Cricetulus griseus: one gene and its partner. The protein of the gene in region 1 purifies or fractionates together with the protein of each later gene. This does not show direct contact. Links are inferred from orthologs where the notes say so. Each region holds a gene or a part of one and is shown on either strand. Other genes may lie near its edges.

Evidence for each region.
Region 2: the proteins of Trim47 (region 1) and fructose-1,6-bisphosphatase 1 purify together in Homo sapiens (affinity purification with western blotting; 3 studies listed by BioGRID). This does not show direct contact. The link is inferred for Cricetulus griseus from reciprocal best matches to the Homo sapiens genes TRIM47 and FBP1.

What each region holds. Positions count from the first base shown.
Region 1 is NC_048600.1:128,694,268-128,701,897, reverse strand, and holds Trim47 (E3 ubiquitin-protein ligase TRIM47), read left to right. Parts: upstream 1-2,696; 5' UTR 2,697-2,789; coding exon 2,790-3,473; intron 3,474-4,675; coding exon 4,676-4,771; intron 4,772-5,029; coding exon 5,030-5,260; intron 5,261-5,421; coding exon 5,422-5,620; intron 5,621-6,030; coding exon 6,031-6,105; intron 6,106-6,357; coding exon 6,358-6,998; 3' UTR 6,999-7,287; downstream 7,288-7,630. UniProt on the Homo sapiens protein: E3 ubiquitin-protein ligase that mediates the ubiquitination and proteasomal degradation of CYLD.
Region 2 is NC_048596.1:280,507,058-280,514,774, reverse strand, and holds the start of fructose-1,6-bisphosphatase 1, read left to right. Parts: upstream 1-3,389; coding exon 3,390-3,559; intron 3,560-7,717. UniProt on the Homo sapiens protein: Catalyzes the hydrolysis of fructose 1,6-bisphosphate to fructose 6-phosphate in the presence of divalent cations, acting as a rate-limiting enzyme in gluconeogenesis. Plays a role in regulating glucose sensing and insulin secretion of pancreatic beta-cells.

The DNA of each region.
Region 1 (7,630 bases):
GGAATCACAGGCGGCTGTGAGCCCAGTGATGTGGGTTATGAACTGGACCTGAGTCCTCAGCAAGGGTAGCTCTTAACTGATGGGCCCTCCCTACACCCCACAAGTGAGCGCTGCTCGCCAGGCGTGGTGGTGCTCAGATGCTACGGTGGCAGCACTTGGGAGGCCATGTGTCCCTCCTGTACCATCGTCACACCAGACTCCATGCTGTGGTGTCACTGACCAGGACTGCCCGGATAAGGTGTGTATATTTCCCCACTGAGAGAGTGACCTTTGCTGTCTTTAGAAGCCAGGCAGCTGCAGCAGCTTTCTTTTGGGCCACCAACCAGCTCCCAAATAAACACACAGAAACTCGTTATTAGTTATGGATAGTCAGCCTTCGCTTATGCTTGTCCCACTAGCTCTTATATCTTAATTTAACTTGTTTCTCTTCATCTACGTTTTTGCCTTGGGCTTTTTACCTTTCTTTCATTCTGTATGTCCTACTCTGTGTCTGGCTGGCTGGTGGCCGCCTGACTGTCCCCAGGCTCTCTCTCTATTTCTCCCTTGTTCTCTCCTTTCTGGAGCCTGGATTCCACCCCCTACTTATTCTTTTTGCCCACCAGCCCCACCTATCCATCTACTGCTTAGCTATTGGTCCATCAGCTTTTTATTAGAGCAGTCAGGTGTCTTAGGCAGGCAAGGTGAACAGGAACACATCATTACATAGTTAAACAAATGTTAACACATCTCTACATAGCTATGCTAATATTCCACAACAGGCAGTGGTGGCACACACCTTTAATCCCAGCACTTGGGAGGCAGAGGCAGGCAGATTTCAGAGTTCAAGACCAGCCTGCTCTACAGAGAGTTCCAGGACAGCCTTTTTCTCTTTTACACAGAGAAAAAGAAGAAACCATTGTGGTTAGCACACAGGTAAGGAGTAGGATGTCACTTTGGAGAGCCAACTGAAATTATCTGGGGTTGTTCTGAATGGGAAAGGCATCTACTAGCCCCCTGCTTCTTCATTTATCCAGTAACTCATTACTCTCAGCATGGACAGATGGATGCTTAATTGTTATTTAGGGTTATAACAACATCATTCTACCCATTTTGCTTATTCTTTTCTTTTTTGCCTTTAATATAGGCCCCAGATTCTAACTCCAGTCCTCACACTTGCTCATCACTTTACCAGCTGAGCAGCTGTCTCCCCAGCACTAGGCTCCACTCATAATAATTAATAATAACGATAATTTTTACAATTTGAATTGGACATATTTTATTTTTATTTATTTATTTATTTTTTGTTTTTCAAGACAGGGTTTCTCTGTGTAGCTTTGGAGCCTATCCTGGCACTCGCTCTGGAGACCAGGCTGGCCACGAACACACAGAGATCCGCCTGACTCTGCCTCCCGAGTACTGGGATTAAAGGCGTGTGTCACCAACGCCCGGCAAGAATTGGACAATTTTAAAACGTAACAGAATTGAAGTATAATGTACAATGTCACTTTACCCAGGCATGACAGCATACTCCTGTAATCCCAGCCCTGGAGAAGAGGAGGCCAAGGCCAACATAAGAAGTTCTAGGTTGGGACTGGAGAGATGGCTCAGTGGTTAAGAGCACTGGCTGTTCTTCCAGAGGACCTGAGTTCAATTCCCAGCACCAAGATGGCATGTCACACCTGTCTAAAACTCCACTTCCAGGAGATCTGACACCCTCATACAGACATATAAACAGATCCATGTGCACAATAAATACATATTTTTTTTAAAAAAAGAAACAAAAAAAGTTCTAGGCTAACCAAGACTATATAAGAAACACCCTGTCTCACCAGGTGGTGGTGGCGCACACCTTTAGTCCCAGCTCTTGGAGGGCAGAGGCAGGCTGATCTCTGTAAGTTAGAGACCAGCCTGGTCTACAGAGCAAGTTCCAGGACAGCCAAGGTTACACAAAGAAACTCTGTCTCAAAAAAACAAGCCACCACCACCGCCCCCAAAAAAACAAAACAAAACAAGAACCTGTCTCAAAAACTACACTAAGAAACCAGATATGTGGCATAAGCCAGCACTCAGAGGCTGAGGCAGGAGGATGAAGGGTTCTAGGCCAATCTGGGCTACCTATAGAGACTAAGTCCCAAAGCAAACACACATCCTTGCAATTAGACGACCATTCTAAATGCATAGTTGGGCAAGTCTTAACCAGTGAGTGCCTCCTTTTAGGGAACTACAGGCACCCGAGAGTGTGCACGAACGGAAGTAAATTCCTCAGACAAGGGATTTGTCCAGTGATGTCAGCTTCCCATTTCAGATCGAGACAAGGCCAACTTCCCCAGTGGGGGTAAATAGAGTCGTTAAGGGGCAAAAACAGACACATACCAGCAGTAATTTTTTCTATATGTCAGCAGCTCGAGATCTTTGCTAACTGTACCGGGGAGGGGTGTGGAGGGCAAAGGTACTGGCGCCACGGCTGTGCCCTCCCACCTCTCGCGAGGCACCGGGCTGACCAAGGTGGGGGATGGAGGATCCCATGCCCTCCCAGCCTCCTCCCCATACATCACCGGTCCTTGTCCTCTCCTTTTCACGCCCATTTGGCAGTGCCACCGCCTCGGCCCACGTGGAAGGCAGACCCCCACCCCACTTCTGCTGACCCGCGGGTACAGCGGCTGGCCGCGTTGGGGGCGGGCAGAACCGCGGAGGGGTTGGAGGGGGCTGGACCCTTGGCCCGGGCCCCAGGGGGCGGTGCCGGGCGCGCGCCGTCCCAGGTCCCTCCCAGGCGGGAGCAGCACAGGCGGTGCCCGGGCAGCTGCGGAGCGATGGACGGCAGCGGGCCTTTCAGCTGCCCCATCTGCCTGGAACCGCTCCGGGAGCCGGTGACCCTGCCCTGCGGCCACAACTTCTGCCTCGCCTGCCTGGGCGCGCTCTGGCCGCACCGGAGCGCGGGCGGCACCGGTGGTTCCGGAGGCCCGGCCCGCTGCCCACTGTGCCAGGAGCCTTTCCCCGACGGCCTGCAGCTCCGCAAGAACCACACGCTGTCCGAGCTGCTGCAGCTCCGCCAGGGCTCGGGCCCAGGACCCATGGCCGCCCCGGCTCCGGACCCCTCCCGGGGCGCGACGCCCGAGCCCTCCGCGCCCAGCGCGTCCCCTACGGCTCCGGAGCCATCGGCTCCCTGCGCGCCCGAGCCCTGGCTGGCCGAGGGGCCGGTGCGCTGCGACGCGTGCCCCGAGGGCGCCGCCCTGCCCGCCGCCTTCTCCTGCCTCTCCTGCCTCGCCTCCTTCTGCTCCGCGCACCTCGCCCCGCACGAACGCAGCCCCGCACTGCGCGGCCACCGCCTGGTGCCGCCGCTGCGCCGGCTGGAGGAGAGCCTGTGTCCGCGCCACCTGCGGCCGCTGGAGCGCTACTGCCGCGTGGAGAGAGTGTGCCTGTGCGAGGCCTGTGCCGCCCAGGAGCACCGCGGCCACGAGCTGGTGCCGCTGGAGCAGGAGCGTGCGCTCCAGGAGGTGGGGCGCGGGCATCCAGGCGGGCACGTGAAGACGGGTGACAGGCGGGCGGGGCGGGCGGGAGAGGAGCTATGTAGTCCCCACTCTCGTCGGGCTGTGCCTTTATCTGTTGCTGTTATCATTTTGCATGCGCACATGGAGATCAAGAAGTCAACTTTGTGGAGTTGGTTCTCACCTTTACGTGGGTTTCATCCCCTATACTCAGTGGGCTCTGCCTTAGTTTCCTTCTCCAACCTGAGGGTCTTTGCAACCCCTTCCAGTCTACAGTGTCGTTTGCTGGGGCTGGTGTGGATGGAAGGGGCGAGTATATGAAAGAGTGGCAAAGAGCCGAAAGGGAGGGCGTGTGTGTGTGTGTGTGTGTGTGTGTGTGTGTGAAGCCGACTCAGTGTGGGTGTGAAGCCCGAGAGGTATCTATCTGGGGTAGGCCCTTGGAGTTGGTGGGGACCAGGGTCGGGTGGCTGCGGGCGTGGCCCCATGGCTGGGGAGCTCTTCTTGCTGGTCCCAATTCAAATTTGTCCCGGACTGAGTCAGCCGCTGTGGATGGGTGTGGCAGGTCCAGGAGCGCCATGGAGGTTGGGCTGGTCACACAGAACGTCTATGTCCGAATGTTCTGGGGCCGTTGGGAGCATGTGCCCAGTGTCCCGCTACCTCCCACCCCCAGTTTCCTTTGGCATCCATCCCGGTCTTGGCGCCTCTAGCTTTGGGATTTTCCGTCTCTCCTGCCTGGAGCTGTGACTCATAAGACCCAAGGGATTTGCTCGGAATCCCCATTTTTTCGGAGTTGGATTGGGGGTGAAGGCTCTTTAGAAACTAATCCCCAGGACTATGTAGTGCCCTCCCTCCTCATTCAGTCACACCCCAAACCCCACTCTCTCGTTCTTTGCCTCTTCCCCACTGGGGTGGGGATGGGGGTCCCAACTAAATTGAGAGCCTTTGGTGGAACTATGCTGGCTTCTCTGGGCGACAGGTAGGCAGTCAAATGCTGACAGCCTGCTTACCTTGCCAGGTGTTTGGAAAGGCACCAGCCAGAGCCAGAGGTGCTTTGGACATATTCTGAAATAGCCCAGCCCCTTCCAGCCCCTTCCAGCCCCTTCCAGTCCCTTCCAGATGTCATTGCCCAGTCTTCCCCGACAAATCCTGAGATCTGTGGCAGATCAGGGACCCTTGTCACGGGACAACACCTCACAAAGCCCCATCCGCAGGCTGAGCAGCCCAAAGTCCTGAGCGCAGTGGAAGACCGCATGGATGAACTGGGTGCCAGCATTGCGCAGTCCCGCCGTACTGTGGCCCTCATCAAGGTCAGGACCCCCACCCCCACCCCTGAATCAGACTTCTGAAAGTGTGCATGAGCTTTGAGGGTGGTGCCATCCTCTCTAGACAAGCTCTGAGTTGGGACTGCTCATCCTTACTAAGCAGGAACTCCTTGTTTCTCAAGACAGTCGTGCTCAGATCCAGAGCTCAGACTGGTCCTCTGTCCTCCTGGTAGGGCTGGGTGGGCACACACAGTCAGGAGAGCAGCCAGGCTGAGTTTTTGTCTCCACTGCCCAATGGTGTAGAGCGCAGCTGCCACAGAGAGGGAGAGGGTGAGCCAGATGTTCGCCGAGGCCACATCCACCCTGCAGAATTTCCAGACTGAGGTGCTGGGGTTCATCGAGGAGGGAGAGGCCACTTTGTTAGGACGCTCCCAGGGTGACCTGCGTAGACAAGAGGAACAGCGTAGCCGCCTGAGCCGGGCGCGTCACAACCTCAGTCAGGTTCCAGAAGCTGACTCAGTCAGCTTTCTGCAGGTGAGGGCCACTGATGAGCCACAGCGGAAATTGAAGGGATGGGGGCGGGAGTTGGGAAATGGTGGCAGAGGCGACTGGTACCTGGCCTCCCAGGATACTTGCTACCTTCCCCGGCTGGGAGAAGCTATGGCTGGCAGAGCCTCAATGGGTGTTTGTCACAGGAGCTCCTGGCACTACGGCTGGCCCTGGAGGAGGGGTGCGGCCCTGGACCTGGGCCCCCCAGGGAGCTCAGCTTCACCAAGTCCTCCCAAGTGGTCAGAGCATTGAGAGACATCCTGGTCTCAGCCTGTGCCAGCCAGTGGGAGCAGCTTCGGGGGCTGGGCAGTGACGAGGATGAGCTGCAGAAGCTCGGCTCAGAAGGTAGGTGCCCCTTCAAGATGACTCACACACACAGAGAGAGATACCCTTTGCACCCCAGCTCTGGTGTCCAGCCAGGAACGGAGGAGGGAAAGTGTCTGGCATTGGGGGAGGGGACCTTAAACCTGCCAGGAACTGAAGCCACCCACCTTGGAAGGCAGAAGGGATTCTTCTTGCTTACCCACCATCAAGGCCTCACATACAAGGAGGCGAGGGTGGGGAAACTCAAGCAACATCCATGCATGAGAACACGGTCCCATTTGGGTGTGTCTGTCACCAAGCAGCTAGAGGCTTTGGGAGGAAGGGTGGAGGGAATTACAACCATGGGTGGTGGGGGGCACTACCTAGGGTAACCCTGCAGCCAGCCACAGGTAATCAGAGAGATGGCTTCCCCACCACTCCTCCTCCTGCAGCTGAGGTGGAGTCCCAGGACCCAGACAGCACCAACCTTCTGGAGAGTGAAGCTCCGAGGGACTATTTCCTCAAGTGTAAGTAGCCAGCCCACTGCTACCAAGGCGCCCCTGTTAGCCGCTAGGCTTCAGAGAAAACACAAATCCTTAATCTCAGGGGCGAACAAGGTCACCTCCATGGGTGGTCTCCATTACATCTCCATGGGTGGTCGCCATTAGTTGTGCGTCTCACTGGTCCTACAGAGGAACAAGGCTGGGGGGGTCCCTGTGGGGGACTATCCAATCCCAGCCTGGCTGTGATTTCTGTCTCTCTCCCATCCATGGGGTCAGTTGCCTACATCGTGGACTTGGACAGTGACACAGCGGACAAGTTCTTGCAGCTTTTTGGAACCAAAGGTGTCAAGAGGGTATTATGTCCCATCAACTACCCGGAGTCACCCACCCGGTTCACACACTGTGAGCAGGTGCTAGGGGAGGGCGCCCTGGACCGGGGCACCTACTACTGGGAGGTGGAGATCATTGAAGGATGGGTCAGCGTGGGTGTCATGGCCGAGGGCTTCTCGCCGCAAGAGCCCTACGACCGGGGCCGGCTGGGCCGGAACGCGCACTCGTGCTGTCTGCAGTGGAATGGGCGTGGGTTCTCTGTCTGGTTCTGTGGGCTGGAGGCCCCACTACCCCACGCCTTTTCGCCTACTGTTGGGGTCTGCCTGGAGTACGCTGACCATGCCCTGGCCTTCTACGCAGTTCGAGACGGAAAGCTGAGCCTTCTTCGGAGGCTCAAAGCCTCCAGGCCACGCCGCAGTGGTGCCCTGGCCTCCCCCACTGACCCATTCCAGAGTCGCCTGGACAGTCATTTTTCAGGACTCTTCAACCACAGGCTCAAGCCTGCCTTCTTCCTGGAGAGCGTAGACGCCCATCTGCAGATTGGGCCGCTCAAGAAATCGTGCATATCCGTACTGAAGAGGAGATGATGCAGGGCTGCAGTGGCCTCCTCCTGCAGTGGCCTGGCCCGTATTTCCTGGGAGAGAGCACCAGCCTCAGAGACCCCCACACTCCCAACTGTTACACTTGTAGGGTCTCTGCCTTCTCTAACTAGACCTTCCACTGTTCAAGGCAAGGGTCCCCAGCTCCTTGCAGGACGTGTTTTGGGAGGAGAACTTAAGCTGGGACAACTCCAGACTGGACCAGCCCTTCTTTTCCAGGTTTCTAGAACTACCTGGCACACAGTAGGTGCTCAATAAACATTTGTTGAATGCTTGACTCCCGTTTTCATTCCTCACTCACCAGAAATTGCTATGACTTCTCAGCCTTCAAGATCTGAGAATAGGGCAAGCGAGATGGCTCTGCCAATGAAGGCGCTTGCCTCCAAGTGTTGGGACCTGAGTTTGATTCCTGAACCACACATGGTTAGAAGATGAGAACTGACTCCTACAAATTGTTCTCTGACCTCTAACTGTGTGTCCTGGTACACAAGCCAGGCAGAAACACACACATATACAGTAACTGACTTCTGGCTCTAGGCAGGGACAGTCAGAGTGGCATCTCCCTGAGTCCAGCTCCATAGTCATCCTTGTTGCTCATGTTAGCTTTGGATGGGAAGAGG
Region 2 (7,717 bases), on another chromosome or scaffold:
CTCAGTGTCACTATCTGCCCCTGCTTAGCTGTGTGACCCGAAGAAAGGTACTGAATTTCTCTAAGCCTCAAGTTCCTCATCTGTGGAAGGGGACTAAATTATGGTTGCACTTAATCACAAGGCTGGGGTGGGACAGAATGAGAGAATTCTTCTGAAACAGCCTTAGCTGGATTTGTAACAAGCACTCGAGAAACATGAGTGATGATTACATAACTCCTCCTTGTTTTACAGGTGACAAAACTTGGCCCAAAGAGTGAAGTGGTGTTTTTAGGTGGTCTGGCTTGTAGGAAAGCCAGCTCTCGGTAGGAGTGTTCTTCCTCCGTCCTGCTGACGATGAAAATGCAATATGTTAGTGCCAGAAAGCAAAGTCAAATTCTGGGCTCAAATCCCAGCTCTCCCACTGTCTGATGCTAAATACAAGAGGAAATCTATTTTTTAAAATTTATTAATGTGTTTATTTAGGGTGCTAGGGATTGACTCTAAGGCCCCGTGTGTACATGCATGCCTAACAAGCACTCGACCACTGAGCCTTGTGCACTGGAACAGGGACACCTGCTTAAACTTTGGATTCCTCCACTGCATTATGGGTAAATTCAGGTTGTTACAGGGTCTGAGACAAAAGGCCACGAGGCTGCATTCATGAGCCTAGCAAATGACATTTCCCTGCTACCTCCTTTCTAAATATTCCTCCTGCCTTCTAAGTCAGGCTCTCAGAACCCTCATGTGGAAGAAAGCCACAGGCAGGCAAGCCCTTTAGTGAAGTGCTCATGGGCTAACAAGATGGCTTAGTGTGCAAATGTGCTTACCATCAAGGCTGACAATTTGAGTTGATCCCCAGGTACCCCAAGGTGGAAGGAGAAAACTAACTTCCAAAGTTGTCTTCTGGCCTCCACATGCATGTCACGGCACATATATTTGCATACACATACAAACAATAAATAACTTAGAAAACAGCAAGTACTCATGATTTCTCTCTGCTGGCCTTTGGTTCAGGGCCTTGGGAGAGTTGGCCAAACTCAAATGGTACAGGTTCAAAGTACTAGAGAGTGCAGGAGAGGCATGTAGAACCTTGAGTGGGGTAGCTGGAGTCTGGGAGAGGTTGGAGAAGTGGGGTTCAGGCTGAAATGTGGGGAGGGTCTCAGCTGGCATCGGGGAGAAGCTGAGTTGCTGAAGAAGTCTGGCAATGCCTGTGGGTGTACATGTGACTTCATGGGAAGAGAGAAACTTCAAATGTGAAGAGCAGAGGATGGATACAAGATACAGCCAGGCCTCTCTGTTGGTGATGACAATGGGTGCTACAGGTACCACCCAGTTCTTCACAGACAACTGGAACTTCTTCCATAGCTTCTGGTACTGCTGAGTTAGACAGTGCTGGAACTTTGAAGGCAGAGACTGTCACCTGTCCTGTGTCAGGCATCCTTCCATGGAAGCCTACAAAGGATGACAGGTGGCCCTGGTGTCTAGCATCTTGACCCCCACTGAAGTCAGCTCAGAAGGGTCATCTCAGGCTCAGGAGCTCCTTGTGGTCTTGGTTGAGCTCATTATTAGTACTGTGTCATGGCAGTGTCCTCTGTCCCACCCTGCTGCGACCATCAGACTGTTCAATGTTGTGTCAGGGATGAGAGGGTAATTTCTTAGGAAAATGAGTCATTGGAGCACAGGGTGGAGCAGGTGGATAAAGAAGAGGAATTGGAGAAAAAGAGGATGGTACTGGAGGGCATGCCAAGTCAGTGGGTCCAGAGAGGGTGATGCTGGAAGGAGTGAGTGCCAGGAGACAGTGGGAACAGAGAAAGTGATGATGCTGCAGGGAGTGCCAAGAGACAGTGGGTCAGGGAAGGGCAGGAAGCTTCAAGCCCACACCATATGAAAAATAGTTGAGGTTGACACATAGTTTGATAGCAATCTTTGTACATTGGACAAGGGCCTCAAACAAGCTGTGTGGAAGGCATGCTACTGGGTCTCCTAGCTTCAGCTCTTGACCTTCCACAGTCTGTTCCCACTCCATTTAGAGGAAAGCAAGTCAAGTTACTTTTTGGATTAAAATCCTCTAAAGGTTCTTCTTGCACTATGAATAGAACCCACAAGTGTCTTGCTATGACTCATGAGATCTGTCATAATTTAGTCTTTCTCCCTCACCCCCACCCCCCCCCCCCCATCCCTGCTTTTTTTTTTTCTTTTCTGGTGTATGTGTGCCTGTTTGGGTACTCGTGTGAGGCCAGAGGACAACCTTGGATGTTATTGCTTGGTCACTGTGCCCCTCATTTTGAGAGATGGTCTCTGATAAGCTTGGTGCTAGCTGATTGCACTGGCTTGTCTGGTTAACCACAGATAGGTCCTCTCTGGCTCCTCCCCAACATCCTTCAGCTTTTTGCTCAAATATTACTTTCTCAGTGAACTTTCCCCTGGACGCTCAGTTTCCTTATATGTTTGTCTTTCCTGTTTCATTCTCCCCTAAGCCAATGTGGCTCCTGTAGCAAGCTGATCCATGGGTTGTTTTTGTTTCTTTTCGTTTTCTGTTTGTTAAACTCTACACTCAGGGAGGCCCTGACCACAAAGAGAGCAGGTGTTCAGGTACACAGTAGCTGTCCAGTGATTGTTTTATAGATCAGCCTGTGGACTTGTGTCAGCTACAACAGGAGCAGACTGGGGACGTGCCTGATTTCAGGACAATTTGTGTCTGTAATTGTCTCCCCTGCAGGACACACTTGTTGGAAACTAAGGTTCTCAACGGTTCTCCAACTCTAGTAACTTCGGGAAGGCAGCAATTAAGGATTCAGACTAGATGAAGGATGGGGGAATCCACTTTCCAGGAGGTGGCTGAAGGGGCAGGTGACAAGAGATCAGCGGGCGGGCACTGAAACAGGCCAGCTTGGGTTTTGGGCTCTGCCAGCTGTCAGCTGTGCAGGGAAGGCAACTGAGCAAGTTACTCCCTCCCTCACACGGAGTTGCTTTGTATTTTAAAGGCGCGGGTGTGTGGGGAGGAGTCCATCAGGTCTTCCTCTTTGGCAGGCTATTGCAGGGATTGAAGGCGATCTTCACGCAGGTAGCCCACAGGCATGCTGCAGAACGCAGGTGTGGCTGTGGAGCAACAGAGGAGGAAGTGGCAATGTCGGCGTGGCATCTAGGGGAGGGTGCATGGAAGGGAGGGGAAGGCTAGGAGGATCTCGCGGGCAGGACGGCAGTTGGGTGGGGGCAGGGAGCAAAGGAGGTGTTTCCTGGGACAGGGGGCGGAGACCTAACGGCTATAAGGTCCCCCAGGACTCAAGTTCACTGAGCTTCTGCAGACACTGGGCAGCTTTCGGTACTCCTGCTGTGAGCATCACCTGTGGCCCTTCTTGCCTGCACCTGCAGCCAGCACCTGCAGCTCGCACCTGTATCAGGCCCCAGCCATGACGCACAAGGCGGCCTTCGACACGGATATCAGCACCCTGACCCGCTTCGTCATGGAGCAGGGCAGGAAGGCTCACGGCACGGGCGAGATGACCCAGCTGCTGAACTCGCTCTGCACTGCCATCAAAGCTATCTCGTCCGCGGTGCGCAAGGCTGGCATCGTACACCTGTGAGTTAGGCCTCTGGTGGCCCTGTCTGGTCTATTAGAGCGCCTGGGGGTCTGCCTCTCTGGCCCCCCTGCTGGTAACCAGTGTGCCCACTCGACACCTGAGATTCCTGTCTCTTGCCCTGCTGCTCACAAACCCTTATTCTCTTCCTCCTGGTGATGGAGCAGGTCCCCTGGGAGGGCTGTCTTCCAGGTGCATAACCTGCTCTACCCCTCCTCTGATCTCAACTCTCCTTGTCGCTCCTCCCAGCCTCATGGTAAAAGTGAGTGACTTAACAGTTGCCCATTTCGGTCTCAGACAGAAAGAGACACGGTCACCTTCCTCCCCTGTTACTCTCTTTGGAATTTTGGACCCAAGTTGTTTCAGATCCAGTGTCATCCTCGACCTAGACTAGTTCCGTTAAGAATATTCCACCAAGCGATAGTTTAGGAAGAAGTGAATACCCAGTCAAGTCCGGCTGTCTATACAGTGTCCTGTCCTCTCTCTGGGATTAGCTGCAGAGCCTCACCTCGAGAGCAACAAAACCTTTCCCTATTTGCATTAATGCCTTGAGCAGATCTTGCCCAATTAGCGAAGAGCTCGAAGACAGGGCAGATGTAGTAGTCTTCTTTTGATGGAGCCAAGGAATTGATTTCCTTCTTCTGAAACATTTGGGGACCTTGTTATTCAGACCCTCCTTCAGGGGTGATTGGGGAAGGTCTGAAATTCTGCCTTTCCAATAAGTTTCCTTGTGGTGGGTGATTTTTTATTTTTTTATTTTTTTATTTTTTGAGTCAGGGTCTCACTCTGTAGCTTTTGATGGTCTGGAGTTTATACTATGTGCAGAGCTGGCTGACCTTGCACCCACAGAATCTGCCTGCTTCTGCCTCCTGAGTGCTGGGATTAAATGTGTGCACCACCACACCTGGCACAGTAGGTGATTTTAATGCTCTGATCTATAGTTCATACAGTATAAAAGGAATACTATATAGTTCATACAGAAGGAAGTGAAGAAAACCTTTCTGTAAACTACTCAACTCTCTTTTACTTTGTTCTGGTCTGAGCACATGTTTGGTATCTAACTGGTCAGCATACAGCTGAATGGAACCTGGGTTTTCAGATTATTTGTATATTTCCTTAATATTTTTCATGCCTATTAGCAATGCAGAAATGCCATTCAAGGTTTGCGGCTAACTTGAGCATAATAATCCTTTGAAGTGCATTTTTTAAAATGCTCCCCCAACAATGAGGCCTGGGTTATTTATTTCTTTATGCATCTATTTCTCAAAACCTCTGTTTCTACTGTGTGGCTTGGTTGAGCTAATTCTTAAGAATGAAGCACCTGGTCACATTTACTTTCAGATGCCAAGGAGGGCTAGGCCTTGCTAGAGAAAGCTAGGAACAGGTATGTTAGAGGTGAGAACTCCCTCACCATCTTGTTCTTGGCCCTAAGGAGTTATTGAGCAAGTGCTGGAAGGTAAAGTCTCACTTCAACTTGAGTTTCCAGGGCACAGATTTAACTCTCTGAGTACCTGGAAGCTTTCTAAGAGACAGCAGTTGGCATTTTTTTTTTACATTATTTTAAAAATGCACCAGTACTTGTCACAATCTCAGAAAGACTTAGAACCCCCAAATCCCACCTAACTAGCCCCGGAAAATGGGAATGGGGTTTGGTAGAAGGTGCCAGTTTTGGCATGGAAGAGAATGTATATTGGTAGACTAGATGGTCATGACACCATTTTTGAAAATATTATCATAGATTCCTTAAGGAGTTGTACCCATTGACAAAAACACCACGCCATTCAAAAGATATGGAGGAAAAGGAGACCCCCCCACCCATGCCAAATCCTCAGAGTACCCGCTGCTAACTGTTGTTGATTATTTTCTCTGACTCTTCTTTATGCTCATGTAAATATCTACATGAACATGCATTTACATGTTCCTATGTAGCTAGCAAACAAAATGGGACAGTATTTACCGTGTTTTCCTCCAATTATGTAATGAACATTCTCTGGCATGGGGTGTGACACCATCCACTTCCTTTTAAACTGCTGCAGGATGTTCCACTGAGCAGACATCTTGAATAATGGAACCCTTCTGTGGCTTTGTGGCATTTAAGTCCTTGCTACTCTGGTTGTTACAGTGGTAGGACAGGTAGGAAGCATTCTTGTGGGACAGTGAGCAGGTGACTACTCACAGTATGACAAGCAGTCAGACTTCCAGCAGCCAGATATGATCTCGACAGGCCTCCAAATTATATTCATTTGGGCTTTGATGTATTGAATGAAGAGCCAGTGCGGCTTCAAAGAGCTTAATTATCACTCCCAATTGGCCCTAGAAAAGCATGCACCCAAAGGGATGGGATGGTTGTAGATATTTCAAGAACCTCATTGGGACTGGTTTCCAAAGCTCAGTCTGGTGTCTCACAGCTCAGCAGAGTTATAATTATGGTTCATGCTGCTGCCTTGTCTCAGTTAACTTCAAAGTTGCCACTGTTGTCATTTCCATTGCTCCTAATGATATGATATCATGAGACAGCATTTCCTATAGCCCAGGTCAGGTTCTGGGGAAGGGAAGGTTAAAAGTATGGAGTTGGAAGAGAAGACATGGAAAATGAGTGGACCAGGTGAAGGAGTGACCAGAGCTATAGTAGCAGAGAAGGCAGGGGAAGGACCTGGCAAAGATGAAGCATGGATTGGATTTGGGCAGTGAAGGGTGTTCTCAAACAGCTGGTTCTTGCAAATGAAAGTAGAATCATGCTATAGAACATGAAAGCAATACAAAACTCCAAATGGAATTCCAAGGAGGACTTGACTTCTAGGGACTGTGGAGCAGTGAGGGGATGTGGAATTTTGCATGCCTTGGTTGAGGCTACTGTAGAAACATACAGTCATAGTCTGTGGGCATCTAGGCCACTGGACTTGGCACATTGGCCCTGAGAATGTCACGATTGGGTTTAGAAGAGTAGGGACACGCAGAACTGAAGAGCTCATTTCAGAGAGAAGGAGCTGAGTTTAGATTCCTAGACTGACATTTAATTCATGTGGTGATAGGGATGGGTGGCAAAGCATTGTGAGCCCCAGTTTCCCCTCTTTTAAGATAGGGACAAGTGTTTTTCAACCTTAGAGTGTTGTGTGAAGATGAAGGAGCTTACTGGTCACACACTGATATCATCATTGCTCTCCTGAAGACTTTTATTTCTTCCTTTTCTAAACTGTTTTTTTTTTGTGCTCCGCCATCATTCTATTTTGCAGCTGCCCATATACATATCAGCTAGAATATATTTCAGGCTACAACATCTGGAAAAGTAGTGTGAGCATGTGTGCATGCTCGTGCGTGCGTGCGTGCGTGCGTGCGTGCGTACGTGTGTGTGTGTGTGTGTGTGTGTGTGTGTGTGTGTGTGTGTGTGTGTGTGTAGGTGGGGGGAGTCAGGCGGTTTCTCACTGAGCTGGAGTTCACTTACTGATTAGGCTAGTCAGGCTGGTGGGTGAGCTCCTGGGATCTGCCTGTCTCTGCTTCCCCAAGCATGGAAATTACAATTCTGTGTCACCATGATCTGCTTTTTAAAACACGGGTTTCTTGAGATTGAGTTCAGAAACTATGCTTGTGTGGCAAACACATCACCAACCGCAATAACTCCCTAGCTCTCCAGAAATGTTTTATTTATGAGATATGCTTTGACGGAGGAATTCAATAAAGAAATTCAGTTTTAGGCTTGGAACTGTGGGAAGGTTAATGTGTGCTTATGCTCATCTTCACATTTGCAGAATTTATGGTGCAAGACTGCTTAGAACAGTGTCAGATTCTCTCTCGTTTCTTGGCTTATCTGCACCACATGACTTGAGTGCCTTGCAAATCTCATTCCAGGGCCAAATCAGAGCTGGCCTCATACCCTGACATCTGTCCATCTGCAACCTGCATGAGCAAAAGCCAGGGTTGGGATTTGTGACCTTGAAAACAGCTTGATTGGCACATCTTCTGTGTATTTCTGAAGTAACCCTTGGATTTTCCCCACCCTGGGTGAATGGTTGGTCATTTACCACAGGATCAATCAATAACAGGGTGGAGGTGGGGTTACCTGGGACTTTCGTAATAAAACTTAAATCATAATCTTCCTCCCCTTGTCCTTGGTTAGATGCTCTGAAAACCAGTGTGGTCCTCCTGCGTGCTGCCGAAGGTGC